2 linked regions of the Tribolium castaneum genome follow. The main gene of each other region encodes a partner of the protein of the gene in region 2 in a complex. Links are inferred from orthologs where the notes say so. Each region holds a gene or a part of one and is shown on either strand. Other genes may lie near its edges.

Region 1 (4,582 bases), on a different chromosome or scaffold from region 2:
TACGTCAAACACGTGGACAACCCAAACCAAGACGGTCGTTGTATAACAGCCATTTACTACCTCAATTTAAATTGGAATGTTAGGGAAAACGGGGGTTTATTACGAATTTTCCCAGAGGGATGGTTAGGTGATAAGGTGCTAAAAGAAATAATTAGTAAATTAAGTTTTTTTAAATGTGATTTTTGGTTGTAGGTAGCTGATATAGAGCCAATTTTCGACCGTCTTTTATTTTTCTGGTCTGACCGGAGAAATCCACATGAAGTCCAACCCGCCTACGACACAAGATATGCAATAACGTTGTGGTATTTCGACGCTAAAGAACGAGCAGAAGCATGCCGGAGATACGAAAAAGAACGTTAGTTTCACAATTTTTTGGAATTTTTGGTTCTGATTCCGTTTGTTTTAGGGCATTCATAGCGCTCGAAAATTGTATCGTGCCACTAACGATCAACTGTGTCCGTTTTGTAACAAACAAACCTAGTACTATGTGATATTTATCGTTTGTTGAAAACTGGTAACAGTTGTGTACTGTTGTATATAATGTGTATTTTTCTGAAAGCTAAACTTTTTTTGATTATTTATGTTTGACAGTGTGATATTTTCTGATTCAAGTCAAATTGAAATTCTTTAATACGTATTGATTTAGGCGGTATTACAATAGGTTATTTAATTCATTTATCGCCGAGGCGACTATTTTAATGTGAATGTAAATAGTGTACAAGTAATTTTCAAGTGTACAATCTAGATTATGTTTGAGACCTAACTAATAAATTTATATGCTATTTTAAGGCTTTCACAGTAGACATTCCTCGATTTTGTCTGTTGCAGGATTGTACGCCTTGAACTGGAACCCGCTCTCACAAAACGAACCCTGAAACATTTTTTTAAACGTGGTCAAGTGTGCTCTGAAAATTGCATGAGCGTATGTCTCTCCTCACACGTACATATAATTATTACATTCAATTAACATTTTAAAATGACGCAAAATTACTTTACAAACATTTTTTTAAACACTAGTTAATGTAGCCAACTTAATTTCAAAATTCAACTTACAGGGTTTATAAGTTGGCACCCTTTGTATTTCCCTTCGTAAGGTTCGGCCTTGTCTCCTATCACTACTAAATCAGGGAGAGGATTTAAACTTAGAGTGTAATCAAAATCCCAATGAACTGTCAAAGCGTTTAAGGGCAAGGGCGACAAATGCCCTTGACTTATTATAGTCCTGGTCAGCTGTAACAAATGCCTCAATTAAAATTCCGATCAGTTTGACCTCAGATATTGAAAATGAGTTGGTAACACAGATTTGCCAACTTAATTTCAAATCACAGTTATTTTTACATTTTCGGACAATTCGCTCTTTTTCGGTTTATGCAATGACGCTTGTAGCAATTTTGGGAGAACATCGGCCCTAAAAATCGTAATTTCCTTATTGCAATATTGCAAACGGCACGGATTAGACGTAAAAACTGCCTTTTTCACCATTTTCGTCATATCTTCAGTTATGCATGACGGAATCGGCAGTCTAAAACACATTAAATAATAAAAAAAGCAAATTAATATTTTTCACCTTGGCACGACGTATGAAGTGCATGGATCCTCCAAACCCGGCACGAAAATAAAATTCGTAACAGTGGCCAAATTCTCGTATTTGTTAATTAATTCAGCTAGTTGTTTGAAAAGTTTCCTCAAAGTGTCCATCTTATTGCTGCTGCAAGACTCTGACATGAAATTCCCCATGAAAACGAACGCCGCAGGCGGGCTGGGGTTGAAACCCTCAAACAGCAATTCAAGTTTTTCAAAAATCTAAAATTTGAATTAAGTTTTGTGGATTTTTTTTTGATCGTTATTACACTAGGGTGGTCAAGCCAAACATTTGAGAAAAACATGAACGAAGCGCCGCGATTTCGTTGTAAGTGATCGCGTAATTTTACGGAGTCTTTGAGGGGTGTTGGAGATGGGCCCCCGAAATAATTTATCGTGTTGAAAAAGGGGCGCGAATTGGCGTATTCCTCCCCTGGGGGTAGAATTAACGTGGAGACTTTGATTATCTTGTCTTCGTAATGTCCGTTAACTAACACAAAACAGTTTTCGGCAAATAAGCCCCCATAGTAACTAAAAATAAAGAGTAAATGAGGCGAAAAAATAAGTGGGGGCTTACACAGCGTGGCTTAAGTCCAGTTGGACGATTCCCGTGGGGTCCTCTAAGTAATATTTGCCTTCAGACACTTGCAATAACGAGCCTAATACCAGAGTATGGTTCAGTGAGACATTCGAAAGTGTTAACAAATAATCAACAGTTTGCAATTCTAATTTAATATTCGTGTTTTCTGTTGCTTTCTGTATAAAATTTCTTTTGGTCCTGTGTAAAATCGTGGCATATCTGTCGGCAAAAAGCTGTGCCTTGGAATCCGCAGAAGACAAAAGTCGGGGCTTATTTTCGGTTAAATAATACTGTTTTCTATCAAGATTGTATGAAACTTTTGGAAAATCGAAAGCGTTTATAACACTGAAAATTGTTTCATTCCTGTCGTAACCAGACTTCAGGCAAACCTAAAATCATTCGTCTAGCCACTGTTTTAACAAATTTTATTTAAAAACCTCCAAAGCCCTGTCTATGTGCTCCTTTTCGATACTGTGCCCCAGAAGGCACTGGTTTTCTAAACTGGAGCACAGATTTTTAACACAATTATCAAAATGGTGTTTGTTTTCTAAATCGATACCTTCTCTGAGAAATTTGGCTACAATTTTGCCACAAAACTCCCTGAAATTACAATAAATAAGTAGTCCAATTTATAATAAAAACACACCTCCGAATATTAAATCCGCCGAATTTTAACGCCGTGTGCAACTTCTTTTTGACTTGTTCAACGTCCATTTCTTTGATTTCTGCTTTGAGTATTTGTAAATTGTGAATTTTTTAGAATAAATAACCTAAAATTATTTCCCGCCCAAATTCTGGTTGGCGTTGGAAAACCCGTATTGCAGAAAAATTGTAAGAGGGAAAGAAAAATTACAGTTATTGCTATGGGTAAATTATTTGTTATATTATAATGCAAAAAAAAGCTTGAAGACGAATTTTAAAACTTATGTAATTATTTTTAGCCAAACGTTTTGAATTTTATCGAGCGTTTTTCGATTTTATGCTTTCAAAGTTGGCATTGCTTTGACGTTCCAAAAGTTTGGTTATTTTATTGTGTTTTTAAAGTTTCGTTTAATTTATTATTTTAACAATAATTATGTGTGCTTTACCGAATTCCTCAACCATAAATATATCAGTTGGTGATTATATTCTGACGCCGGCCTCTTGTGCCTCTTTAGTAAATGAAGTTATGAAAAACCTGTTGTATCAAAGGACCCAAATCCCTTATCCCTATGCTTGGCTCAAGAGCATCGTGAAGAAGAAACGCAAAAGTATTGAAGACGGAGAGGAAGAGAAGAAGACGAATTTTACGCTAAATAAACATTACCAGACTGTTTCAACAGCGTATGATGCTGTTGAAAATATCGCCTTAAACATAGTCAAGTGTTTTACTGACTTGGGGAATAGTTTGAAAGAAGTTATTTTTGTAATTGGCGTGACGCCTGTATGTCCTAAGGAAGTCTTTACAGTGAAGGCATCGTCGCTCGCTTTAGGCCATGTTGAGGGGAATCATGTGATGGAAAATAGCAGAAGGCAGTCCAGGATATTAAGGTAAAACCGCTTTGTTGTACTGTATTTTCAACGCTAAAGTTTTCAATTTTTGCCAGGAATATATTTTTAGAGGAGGTCTGGATGAGTCTAGTAGAAAATTCATTACCTTGTTGTAACACATACATATTTTTGAAAGTTGAAGCGTCTCAAAGTAATTTAAGTAACGTGTGTAATGACAATATATTTATACCATCTAAACCTTTATTAGTTTCTAATAAGATAAAGCAAACTGTTATTAATTTTAATTCAAATTCTCAAGTGTTTTCATGCTGTGATAAATTGGAAGTATTTAAAGATTCTTGCGATGTGGAAGGTCCAGGAAAATGTGAACGTAATTTTAATGAAAAAGACAAAAGTTCAGAAAATGGAGAAACGTGGTTGCAGTCCACAATTGTAATTCGCGGTTTTAAAGATTGTTTTGTAAATAAAGTAGCGGCTTCTGAATTATGGTAATCTTTTAGGGAGTATCAATTTTTAACTGGAATTTTTTATATCTACAATGAATTTTAAGTAAAGAAAATATACCTACATTTTTATGAAAGTGCTTTTTATTAACCTTATATTTAACTTCGTGTTTAATTAAATGAAATCTCCAGTAGAACCCTCTTATCCAGACAAATCCTGGCTTTCCATATTTCCCTTATTTTGCATAAGAATGTTTATGTCGAAACTGCGATATCTCGAATTTTTTGATAACTTGAATGATTGTGAATTCCAGAATCCTGGACCAAAATTTGCTTAAAATCCTTTTTGTTTTTATTGAAAATTATGTATTTTTGCTTGTTCGTAGCGTTACTATTTTCATTCAAGTCTCATATTTCTTTCCTTTTATTTATTTATGATAACTATTACATACTCTATATTTTTGTGAAGCTTGTCATTTTCGGGAAT
Region 2 (2,706 bases):
GCTTTTTCGAACATTCAGTTCCGTGTTTATCAACAAATTTTTTTCTAGTGATTGTTACTTTTGCTTAAAATCATACATGAAGACTTCTTAAGAATTATTTTCGCTTTTATTAAAATCGAGCTTAAGTTGGCAACGCCGAATTATTTGCCCGTCAGTGTTGCCAACCTAAATTTCAAAGTCAGTGCCTACTTTGGCCCGATTTTTAACCAATTTGCAGGCAACGTTGCAAAAATCACAGAAAGCGACCTCAAAGAAGTGGGAATTGTGAATAAATCGGACCGGGTCCACATTTTAGACGCATTCCAAATGTACCGAAAGGAGCAAATACCGACCGATACGGCCCCCTCAGCTCCAGTGCTGCCAATCGAAGAGGCAAGTGCGCCACCACTCGAAAATGTCGCAAATTTGGGGACTGAATGCGTCATTTGTTTGGACTCAACTGTATGTTGTTTATCTCAAATTAAGGCGAATTTTGGTGTTTTTTTTTTGCAGTGTGAGGTGATTTTCGTGCCATGTGGACACTTCTGTTGCTGTTCCCAGTGTCCTGTGACCTTGAACGACTGTCCAATGTGCAGGACTTCAATCGAACGCAAAATTAGAATAATTTCATAGTTCGTTCAACTGCCGTCACTTTTTTTGCTCAGTGTTGCTAAAGTGTGAATTCTGCACGATTTGTGGCCTTAATCTAGTCAGTTGTTACTTTTTCTCATGAATAAAAAACTATCACAAAAAATTTATTTTTTATTACGATTCTCCCGTTTCTTCCTCTTCCACGGCCTCCTCGTCGTTGTCTTCCGCCATTTCAACGTCGGCCCCCTTCTTCACTTTCTTCTTCTGCTTCGCTTCTTTGAAATCTGAAGTCGGTTTTTGAAACGTGAACATAACCTCAAAAAAAAACTAACCTCTCAGCATCACACTTAAGGGCTCCACGAATTCGTCAAACTCGAGCTCTTCTAACGCTGTTAGAATGTCTTGACCCAGAAGAGTCTTTCTGTTCACTTTTTGCGCCTCTTTGGTGGCTTGTGAGGTTATGTACAGGACAAAAATTGAAGCGGCCCTTGACAGGGCCGAACGGGCGTCTTTACCAACACTGACGTGTTCAGGCAATGCGTCTTTAATTATCTTTTGCACCGTCATGTTCGGCAAATTCAAATCTTCCAGTTTTTCGGCCATTTGGTCACAAAATTCACAAAATTACTTTTCCCACCAAAAACAAAAAACGCGCATGCGCAATGCCAACCGCCATGTTTGAATTTTGATTAAAAAATCATTAATTTGTTTATTATTGGTCACCTAATAATTATAAATTTGTGTTTTTTGTTTAATTAAGCTTGGGGGGCTCGTGACGAATGGGGTGGTTTATTTTAGGGGCTGTTTTTTGCAGTTTTGGTGGGGGGCCTTGAACTATTCACCCTTGTTGGCCTTGGTTATTGAGGTTATGTTATAAACGGTTGACGTTTTGAAAATATGTGAAAAAGGTGAGTTAATTTTGCATTTTCTCACCTAAATTAACACAAATGTGGGTCAATTCGTGAATTGTACGTCAGTCTAATCAATTTCCAGTCGTAATTCGCTAAAAAAAGGGGGTTCAGAAATGTCCATAAGCCAAGTGGAAAATGTCAGCACTCGTGTAAAAAACACAAAAAAAGAGATCGAACAGCTCAAAACCGAGCTAGAGAAGCTCATAAGTCTTGGGACCCAGCCCCCTGAGCCCCCCACCCACAAGCCAGCCCCTGATACCCAAACCGTTAAAAAAAAGGCGCCCCCCGATCCCGAGAAAAAGCCCCGCAGTTATGACGTCACCGAGGCGCGTAACTACATCAAAAAACAGCGGGAAAAACGCGCCGAACAATTGCGGGCCCAAATCAACACCACTGACAATAAACTCGATCTGAAAAAGCAAAAACTGAAAGAATTACACCAGAAAACACTCGAGCTGGTGACAAAAAACGTGCAGTTGAAGCGCGAACGCTCGAAATCGCGGGACAAGGGCGAGCCCCCTGTCCGGATCGACCGCTCGAAGGCGCGGGAGAAAGGGGGCCCCCTTGTCCGAACCAACCGCCCGAAGTCACAGGACAAGGGGGGCCCCCCGAAAATCGACCGCTCGAAGTCGCCCGCACAAAAAGTTTCTGAGGGCTCCGAAAAGACGCAAAAAAGCGAGAGAATTTCGAGGGCCAAGGCCCGGGAGCCCCAGAAATTGGCGAAAACGTCGTCTGAGGCGAAAGAGACGCAAACGTGCGACAAGGGGGCGCCCTGGCTGGAGCCCCCTTGTGCGGCGTATCCGTACAATTTTATAAACACAGTTAAGAGAAAATTGCAGTTTGCTGTGAATTCGCCCCGGAATTTTATCGACATTGGGGTGCAGAATTCCGGGACTCCGCCCCTGGAAACAAAATCGAGGGAAGAAATTAAAGAACTGTTGATTAAAAGTGCCAAAAGTGAGTTGAGATCGTTTGTTTCGCACAAATGTCTCGACTTGAAGCCTGTGGAAAATTTAGAATTGAGAGAAGTGTCGAAAAATTTGTTCAATAATTGTGATAGTGGTAGTGAGTCGGATACTTCGAAAAATATTCCCGACATTTCGAGTGAAAGTCTAAAGCTCGATTTCGATAAATTGAAAAACTACAAGTTGCAGAAAAGTGACGATAGTTACAGTTCGGATTTTCACAAAGAAAGTGTTTCATTTAAATCGCTCCTAACTGAAAA

Evidence for each region.
Region 1: DNA polymerase epsilon subunit 3 (region 2) and PolE2 share a complex: the UniProt entries of both Homo sapiens proteins name them as parts of the DNA polymerase epsilon complex. The link is inferred for Tribolium castaneum from reciprocal best matches to the Homo sapiens genes POLE3 and POLE2.

Annotation. Positions count from the first base shown.
Region 1 is NC_087396.1:20,064,873-20,069,454, forward strand, and holds PolE2 (DNA polymerase epsilon subunit 2), read right to left. Parts: upstream 3,010-4,582; 5' UTR 2,876-3,009; coding exon 2,808-2,875; intron 2,762-2,807; coding exon 2,599-2,761; intron 2,551-2,598; coding exon 2,159-2,550; intron 2,113-2,158; coding exon 1,851-2,112; intron 1,804-1,850; coding exon 1,568-1,803; intron 1,523-1,567; coding exon 1,339-1,522; intron 1,231-1,338; coding exon 1,054-1,230; intron 872-1,053; coding exon 794-871; 3' UTR 607-793; downstream 1-606. UniProt on the Homo sapiens protein: Accessory component of the DNA polymerase epsilon complex. Participates in DNA repair and in chromosomal DNA replication.
Region 2 is NC_087394.1:1,508,753-1,511,458, forward strand, and holds DNA polymerase epsilon subunit 3, read right to left. Parts: upstream 1,246-2,706; 5' UTR 1,174-1,245; coding exon 903-1,173; intron 855-902; coding exon 745-854; 3' UTR 729-744; downstream 1-728. Other genes in the region: E3 ubiquitin-protein ligase LRSAM1, read left to right, coding at 218-441, 493-612; centrosome-associated protein 350-like, read left to right, coding at 1,595-2,706. UniProt on the Homo sapiens protein: Accessory component of the DNA polymerase epsilon complex. Participates in DNA repair and in chromosomal DNA replication.